Linked DNA regions of Oryctolagus cuniculus. The protein of the gene in region 1 interacts with the protein of each later gene in a biochemical or structural test. Links are inferred from orthologs where the notes say so. Each region holds a gene or a part of one and is shown on either strand. Other genes may lie near its edges.

The links.
Region 2: the proteins of GSN (region 1) and ACTA1 are reported together in a solved structure, tested with the Homo sapiens proteins (3 studies listed by BioGRID and IntAct). The link is inferred for Oryctolagus cuniculus from reciprocal best matches to the Homo sapiens genes GSN and ACTA1.

The regions. Positions count from the first base shown.
Region 1 is NC_091432.1:225,292,351-225,296,921, forward strand, and holds the start of GSN (gelsolin), read left to right. Parts: upstream 1-1,568; 5' UTR 1,569-1,609; coding exon 1,610-1,738; intron 1,739-1,788; exon of another isoform or gene 1,789-1,835; coding exon of another isoform or gene 1,836-1,859; intron 1,860-3,162; coding exon 3,163-3,367; intron 3,368-4,149; coding exon 4,150-4,304; intron 4,305-4,571. UniProt on the Homo sapiens protein: Calcium-regulated, actin-modulating protein that binds to the plus (or barbed) ends of actin monomers or filaments, preventing monomer exchange (end-blocking or capping).
Region 2 is NC_091444.1:90,180,730-90,185,022, reverse strand, and holds the start of ACTA1 (actin, alpha skeletal muscle), read left to right. Parts: upstream 1-1,368; 5' UTR 1,369-1,678; exon of another isoform or gene 1,679-1,696; intron 1,697-2,458; 5' UTR 2,459-2,470; coding exon 2,471-2,599; intron 2,600-2,691; coding exon 2,692-3,016; intron 3,017-3,246; coding exon 3,247-3,408; intron 3,409-3,513; coding exon 3,514-3,705; intron 3,706-3,824; coding exon 3,825-4,006; intron 4,007-4,100; coding exon 4,101-4,244; 3' UTR 4,245-4,293. UniProt on the Homo sapiens protein: Actins are highly conserved proteins that are involved in various types of cell motility and are ubiquitously expressed in all eukaryotic cells.

The DNA.
Region 1 (4,571 bases):
TCACGGGTCGCTTTCTCCACTCAGCTCTCTTAAAATCCCCGCAGCCCGGATTGTCTTCTCGCTGTGTGTTCCCTTAGCGTTTTCCTACCCTGCGTGTTGGTGGGAGGCAGCTGTGGTGGGAGGAGGCCAACTCCAGCCTGATTAGTAGGAAGCTGGGCTCCAGGAGGAGCCGGGGTGGGTGACCGGGCTGTGTGTGCGGTGCAGGGAGAGGAGCTCCCACCAGCCTCGCAGCCAGGCCATCCAGGCCGATTTAATCCTTGGTCCCCATTTATGCGCATTTAGTAGACGAGACCTGCAGAAAGAAAGAAACTTAGGTACAGCGGAGGTGGGTACCCATCCCAGGTCTCCAACCGTCTCTTTCTGTTTCCTGTCACCGCACCAGGTTGCAGGAGGGAGGGGACTATTTGGAATGCAAAGAACACTTAGATTGGGAGCAGGTGGGTCTGGCCGAGGGGTGGGGAGTGGGATGGGGGGAACTGGGAAATACACCAAGGGGAGCCGGAAGGGTGCTTCTCCTAAGCCAGTGTGCCTCTAGTATGAGTGTGTGTGTGTGTGTGTGTGTGTGTGTGTGTCCTAACCCAGTGACCATGCCTCCAGTGGTGTGTATGTGTGTCCTAACCCAGTGACCATGCCTCTAGCGGTGAGGGGAAGGGGAGAAGAGACACAATCCTGGCTTCCCCAGGAGGGCTCCGTAGAGGGTGCCTAAAATGGATAAAACCCTTCTAGAAGCATGAGGGCCTGTTATCTGGACACGAGAAGGCGAGCCCTGCCTGCTTAGGAGGCAGATGGGGAGGCCGGTGCCCCTGGGGAGGGGCAGCGTTGTACAAAGTTGGGACCTTATGTTTTGCTCAGAAGAAAAAAACAAAAATGTTTCAACGTTTATTTAAAAAAACAAAAATGTTTTTGAAAAGCAGGAAAGAAAGGCCACCTTGAGTAAAGTAGAACCAGCAATCCCAGGGCTTCAGAGTCTGGCCCGCCCCTCTCTGAGCCCTGCCTGCCTCTCCTGGCACGGCTGCCCCAGCTGGTGGCCCTGGCAGGCTGCCCGGGACTGGTTCTACCCAGCCCCAGACCCAGTCACATTGTGACAGCACTGCTTGTAAGCAAGTTGCTTACCCACTGCACTCTCAGTCTGCCCCTCTATGAAATGGGCTGTCAGCAGCACACACTCTGTAAAGGATGTCCTGGTGTGTCGGTTTGCTATGTGTTCCTTCGATGTCAGCTTTCTGCTGGAAATACCAGGAGCAGAGCAGGAAGAGGGCTTGCTGAGGTCACTCGGGAGAAAAAGACTGAGCTGTGCTCCCCACAATTCCTTGGTGTGCCCATTTAGCATGCACTTAGTTAGCATCTGCTGTATGCCAAGCTCTGTGCTAAGTTTCCGCCCCGCAGCTGGGGTGCAGGGGCGGCCGCGCCCAGTCGGGTCGGATTCAGTGGGAACCCAGATGTCTCCAAGATCCCTGACAGATCCCCGCCCCGGGGGCCCGCTGGGGGCCCAGCCCTGCCCCGCGCCCTCCCTGCGGGGCGGTCCGGGCTTGGGCGGGATGGGCGGGCGGCTACTTAAGGGCTGCGATCCCAGGGCCGGGGCTGCGGGTCCTCTGCTGTCGCCGCCGCCATGGCTCCGCACCGCTCCGCGCGCGCGCTGCTCGGCGCGCTGGTCCTGGCGCTGTGCGCCCTGTCGCCGCCGGCCCTCGCGGCCACCGCATCGCAGAGGGTGGCTCCGGCACGGACGCCCCAGGCGCGGGTGAGTGCCCCGGGGGGCCCGGGGCTCCCGGAGTAACTCTCTATTGTAAGTTCTTGCAGATACAGCGCTAGGAAAAGGGGAGTAATTCAGGTCTAGAATGGAAAAACTGTTTTGTTGCTTTGTAAGTATCTCTTGCTGCTCCAGGGCTCGGCGGAGGGCGGGAGCCTGGGGGCCCTGGCTGCGTCCCTACGCGAAGGCTAACCTCACCTTGGCCGGAATTCTCCTCCCTCCCACCTTCTGATTTCTTACCCATCTCTGCCACCTGATTTCTCCTTTCCTTGCCTAAGGTCTCCTTCCCACTGCCTGTCTTCTTCCATCTCCCCCTCCTCTGATGGCTCCCGCCCTCCCCGGCATCTCCCTCTGTCTTATGTGTCCTTTGGACCATCACAGGTTCTCACCTCCCTGCAGTCTCCCTTGCTCTGTTGAGTTTCTCCTCTCCCAGTGCTGTTCCACCCCCTGCCTGAGTGCCTCTCTCTGTCTCATTCCTCTCACTTCTCACGTTTTGTTGCCCCCAGATCTCCCCGGCCGAGGTGACCCATGCCTGCTGACTGCCACCCCCAGCTCCTGCCTAACCCCGCCGGCCGCCGTCTCTAGCCCCCCCTCCCCACCCTGCATGTCTCACAGCCTCTGCCCTTCCTTGGGTACCTCGCCTTCAGCAGGCTCCTGCAGACCCCCGGGGGGATGTCAAAAAATGGAATTTGGGGGTGGGGTGTTGGGGGGCAGGAGGGAGGAGGCAGACAGCGCAGGAGGCCACTTGGGCTCAGCCGTTCAGACCCTTCCTGGGGGGTGTGAAGGGGATGGAGGGGGCACAGGAAATTGTCCCACGTGGGACAGAGGCACACAGGCTGCAGACGTTGAGCTGTCCCCTCCCCTCTTTGGGCCTCTGTGTGCCTATTTGCACAGTAGGGGTGGATAAGGAGCACTCTGAGAGCCCTTTAATCTTAAGAGCCGTGGAGGGTGCTGGAAGGGAGCAAGCTAAGCCCCTGGGGACCCTTGGGTTTACCATTGCCATTTGGGGCGGGGGGCTACCCAACAGCCCGGAGCGTGGAGAAGTCCTTGCTCTGCTGTCACCTGGCTTGGGGTCCCTGTCACAGTCCCTGCTCCTGCCTGCACCTCAGTTAACATGGCCAGTGACAGTACCAAGGGGAGGGAGAGGGAGGTAGATCCCTCTGTCCTGTCCCCCGGGAGCTGAGTGGGAGGGCCAGGAGCTTGCAAGGCACAGGGTCTGGAGCCGAACCACTGGCCCTGTTCGCTAGCTCACCAGGACAGAGGCTCCTAGGAGGCAGACTCCCCTCGGGTGTGGAAAGAGCAGTGGCTCAAGTCGGACGCTCTTGGTGCTGGAACCAGCCTCCCTCGCGCCCGGGGTCTGTCCCTGCCGAGCCGAGCCGCGGGCCCCTGCTCAGGCACTGCCTGTCTCTCTCCAGCCCAGCAGCATGGTGGTGGAACACCCCGAGTTCCTCAAGGCAGGGAAGCAGCCTGGCCTGCAGATCTGGCGCGTGGAGAAGTTCGACCTGGTGCCTGTGCCGCCCAACCTCTATGGAGACTTCTTCATGGGCGATGCCTACGTCATCCTGAAGACGGTGCAGCTACGCAATGGGAACCTGCAGTACGACCTCCACTACTGGCTGGGTGAGGCTGCCCACCCATCCAGCCCCTGCCCAGCCCCTGGCAGGGCAGCTGGCTGTGGTCTGGAGCTTGCTGCTTTTTACTTAATGTGGAAGGCAGAGAGAGACACCCAGAGACAGACAAAGAGCTTGTCTATCAGTTGGTTCATTCTCCAGATGTCCACAACGGCTGGGACTGGGCCAGGCTGCAGCCAGGAGCACGGAACTCCATCCGGGTCTCCCACATGGTTGATAGGCCCCCGAGTACCCGAGGCATCACTGCTGCCTCCCAGGGTGCACGGTAGCAGGAAGCTAGAGCCAGAAGCAGAGCCAGGACTTGAACTCAGCACTCTGCTATGGCGTGTGGGCCTCCCAACTGGCATCTTAATTGCTGTGCCAAAAGCTCGCCCCTGATTATCATCAAGCAGACCCCTCCGTGGCTCCCGTCACCCCCAAGTTTGTCCTTCAGAGTCAGGGGCTCTGCTGTGGGGTGCTTTGAGCCCTGTCACCTGGCCGAGCCTCAGTTTCCTAATCCATACTTGAGTTCGTGCTCAGGAGAGCTGAACAGGAGTGCAGAGCAATGTATCAGAGCTAGGATGACCCTTAGAGAAAAATGGGGTCCAGGTACACTTCCTCCCTCCCCTGTACCCATTATATGGAGGGGTTAACCGAGGCTCACAAGAGGCAGGGGCTTGCTGGGCTTTCCCAGCTAGCCCAGGGCAGTGCTGGAGCTTCCTCCCTGGGTGGGATGGGGGGTGCCGGGACCCCTTTCAGGAAGCCTGGCTCATGCTGCCCTGCGTCGCCTAGGCAACGAGTGCAGCCAGGACGAGAGTGGGGCGGCCGCCATCTTCACCGTGCAGCTGGATGACTACCTGAACGGCCGGGCTGTGCAGCACCGTGAGACCCAGGGCTTCGAGTCGGCCACCTTCCTTGGCTACTTCAAGTCCGGCCTCAAGTACAAGGTGCGTGGGCCCCTACTTTGCTGGGGATGGGTGCGCTGACAGCAGGGCTCACTCAGGTGCACCTGTCTTTCAGCCATGTGGGGTGATTGCAGAGGTCAGAGGTCAGCTTTGGGGTTTGAATCCTGGGCCTTTCCGAGCTGTGTGACCTTGGACACATCACACTTCTCTGAGCTCGTGGCTCCTCACATTAGAGTCAGGAGCAGAAAACTCCCTGTGGCTCCCTCAGGTGGTCCTCCTACCCCACCTCGTCTCCTGATACCCCTTCAT
Region 2 (4,293 bases), on another chromosome or scaffold:
CTGTCCCAGTTGCCAAGTTCATTACCAAGTGAGAATTACAACTATTTGGGGAATACTTAAGCACATCAAGAAAATGAGTAATTCCACTTGGGTCTGTACCGCATTGGTAATGTGCCCCTTAAAGCATGTCACAGAATGCATCATGGATGATTGTTTATAGTTGTACTTCCTACCACAGAACTGTTCTTGTCCCCTTCCTTTCGTCAGCTCCCCTCTTCTCCCAACCTGAGACAGGCACCAACCAGATCAGCTCCATTGACCCGCCCCTCCCGTCCCACCTTACCATAAGTAGATCCAGATTCTTCTAGAAAATCTGAAAGGCATATCCCCGTATATCAGTGATATAAATAGAACCTGCTGCAGGCTCTGCTAGGTGGTGACTCTCCAAGGTGGACTGGGAGGCAGCCTGGCCTTGGCCAGCATCATCCGCTAAATATAAAGATGAGTTTGTTCCGCTTTCGCATAAGGAAAAACTAGCACTCATCCCAAGTGCAATGTCCTCGTCCTCTCTACTGGGAGGAAAGTCCAGCCCCTCACCCATCGCCACCTCCATCACCTCCAGATCTAGCCAGTCCAGCCTGTGACCCTTGTCTTTCAGCCCCAGGAGAGGGACTCACGTTGTGAGTGCCACCCAGAATTGGGAGAGGAGGTGGGAAGAGGGTGTTCAGCTCAGCCTATCCCAAGCAGGGTCTGCCAGTCCTGGAGAAAGGGAGCCATCGCACCCTCACTCTCTTCAGGAGCTGGAGAGCTGACTGTGCCGCAGCCAGGCCCACAGCTCAGGGTGCCCTGGCTTCGCTCCTGATGGTGCCAAAGCCACTGCCTAGCCTGTCCCTGGGAGCCCCCGCACCTCCTCCCCACCCCTCCTACCCCAGCCTCCCGCTGCCAGTTGTCTACCCTGCGACAGCTGCGCGCCCTCCAGCCGCCAGTCACTCTATTCGTGATGGGGGAAGGGACCGGCTTGGGTCAGCCCTCCGGACACAGGGGAGCTCCGGGATGGGGAGGGGGAAACGGAAATGGAAATGGCTGGCAGCGCTGGGCTTGCCTTGTTCCTTGCCTGGGGTGTGGGAGTGGTGTTTCCAGGCCTCCCAAGCCCACCACTACACCCTGCTCTGTCTCCCAGTAACTGCACGTTGAAGTTTGAGTCTGAGTAAAGAACTCCCCCAGCGGGGTGAAATGCTAGTATGGGAAGCCAGCGGTTAGGCACCAGCCCGTGTGTGCAGAATGGACAAGGATGGGGAATCCGTTGGGACAGGTGCAGCTCTCCGAGCACAGGCTGACACAATGCACCCACGGGCGCACGCGGTGACCCTTGCCCCACCCTACCCCTCTGGCTGACAACTGAACCCAGCAGGGAGGGGCAGCCGTGCTGGGGAGACACTCCATATACGGCTCGGCCCGCGTTACCTGGGCTCAGGCCAGCCCTTTCCTTCTATGGTCAGCACAGGACACCCCGGGCGGGGGCATAGGGCACTAACCCGCCTAGGGAGGCGGCTGTAGTGCCCAACACCCAAATATGGTTCGAGAAGGGCAGCGACATTCCTGCGGGGCGGCGCGGAGGGAGTGCCCCCGGGCTATATAAAACCTGGGCAGGGAGACACTCGGTCACTGCAGCGGACAGCGCCGAGTGAAGCCTCGCTTCCCTCCCGCGGAGACCAGGGCCTGAGCCGGAGCGCAGCAGGTGTAGCCACCCGCCCAGGTAGGGCGGGAGTGGGAGAGCGGGACGAGGGGACAGGGTACCACTGAGCGCCACCTAAAGGACTCGGGGATCATGCAGCCGGCTCACCTGTGCCCCATGCACTTGGTTCGGTCCCCAGAGGCACAGAGCTTTAAAAAGGAATCAAGCATGCCAGCGGACCTCTGGAAACTTAGCTGCATTTATTTCTAGCCCCTTCGGGCTGGTGTACCTGGCACTGTGGATGCGCCTAGGGAGCGGGCGTTAACTAGGGAGATTGACTTCACAGAGGTTAACCATGCTTTGGTTCTCTGAAGAGAGAATCACTGGAGAAGAAAGGCAGCAAGGGCCACTGCTCTCTGGGCTGGCAACAGGTGCAAGGGTTCCCCATCTTGGATGGGGCACCTGGGCAGCCAATGGGCAGACAGCTCAGTGCCCCCTCCCTAACAAATGAGGCCCCGGAGGCGCACAGTGGGTGGGCACTAGGGCCTCGCTCTTGGAGCTGGTGGCCCGCAAAGCCTCAGGGAACCCTGTGCCCCTGGGTACCAGAGCGCAGGACTTCTCAGTTTGGTCTCGCGACCCTAGGCCCCTCTCCTCTGTGCGCTATAGCATTGAGCCCAGGAGCGACTGTTGGACCGGGCCCTCTGGCCGCCGCCCTGGCGGGAGGCAGAACCCTAGAGACCCGGAATGACTTTAGGGCGCTCTGGAGGGAGGGCGTCCGGGGTACGCCGCTGCCGAGGCCCCTCGGCTGACGCTCCTGCTTCTCCGCCAACTCTTTGATGGCAGAAACCAGACACCATGTGCGACGAAGACGAGACCACCGCCCTCGTGTGCGACAATGGCTCTGGCCTGGTAAAAGCTGGCTTCGCCGGCGATGACGCCCCTAGGGCCGTGTTCCCGTCCATCGTGGGCCGCCCCCGCCACCAGGTCAGCCCGCCGCTCGGTGGAGGGAGCTGGGCTGGGATCCCGGTGCCCGCCGGAACTGCGGTAACGGGTTTGCTGTGTCTCCCACCGCGCAGGGCGTCATGGTGGGTATGGGTCAGAAAGATTCGTACGTGGGCGACGAGGCTCAGAGCAAGAGAGGTATCCTGACCCTGAAGTATCCCATCGAGCACGGCATTATCACCAACTGGGACGACATGGAGAAGATCTGGCACCACACCTTCTACAACGAGCTGCGCGTGGCCCCCGAGGAGCACCCCACTCTGCTCACCGAGGCCCCCCTGAACCCCAAGGCCAACCGCGAGAAGATGACCCAGATCATGTTCGAGACCTTCAACGTGCCGGCCATGTACGTGGCCATCCAGGCCGTGCTGTCCCTGTACGCCTCCGGCCGTACCACCGGTGAGTGCCAGACCGGTTACGCACAGCCCAGGCGCGGATGAGTCCTCTCCCCAGTCCCCGACGCCCCGCCTGGGCCCCACGTCCGTCCGCATCCAGAGCTCTGGGAGAGGGATGGGGGGTGGGAGCAGTGCTCGCCCCCAGCCTCGAGCTTCCCCGGGCCCCGCGAGGACTCGGGACAGCGGCTGCGGGGAGCGGCCGGCCGCTCACGCAGCCGCCCCAACCCGGCGCAGGCATCGTGCTGGACTCGGGAGACGGTGTCACCCACAACGTGCCCATCTATGAGGGCTACGCGCTGCCGCACGCCATCATGCGCCTGGACCTGGCTGGCCGCGACCTCACGGACTACCTGATGAAGATCCTCACTGAGCGTGGCTACTCTTTCGTGACCACAGGTGCGCGGCTCCCGGGGCACCCAGGGTCGGCGAGGCAGCGGGCGCCAGCCCCGGGGTCCCCGCGCTGAGAACTCATTCCTCTCCTCCTGCCCCTGCCCCTCGCAGCCGAGCGCGAGATCGTGCGCGACATCAAGGAGAAGCTGTGCTACGTGGCCCTGGACTTCGAGAACGAGATGGCCACGGCCGCCTCCTCCTCCTCCCTGGAGAAGAGCTACGAGCTGCCCGACGGCCAGGTGATCACCATCGGCAACGAGCGCTTCCGATGCCCCGAGACGCTCTTCCAGCCCTCCTTCATCGGTGAGCGCCGGCCGCCCGTCCCCGGGGCCCGCCCCGGCTCTCCTGGGCCCGCGCCAGGCCCCGTGGCGCTCTAGTGCGCGCTGAGCCCGCTCACTGCTGTCCCCCTCCGCGCCCCGCAGGTATGGAGTCGGCCGGCATCCATGAGACCACCTACAACAGCATCATGAAGTGCGACATCGACATCAGAAAGGACCTGTACGCCAACAACGTCATGTCGGGGGGCACCACCATGTACCCCGGGATCGCTGACCGTATGCAGAAGGAAATCACGGCTCTGGCCCCCAGCACCATGAAGATCAAGGTGGGCCGGAGCCTGGGCTCGCGGGGCGGGCGGGCTCCGGGGGGTTGGGGGTCCGCTGGGGGCCTCCACCTTACTGACGCCCGCTGTCTTGCAGATCATCGCTCCCCCCGAGCGCAAGTACTCCGTGTGGATCGGCGGCTCCATCCTGGCCTCGCTGTCCACCTTCCAGCAGATGTGGATCACCAAGCAGGAGTACGACGAGGCCGGGCCCTCCATCGTGCACCGCAAATGCTTCTAGACGCGCGAGCTGTCCCCAGGCCGACAGATCTGCGGCTCTGGCAGGTGGC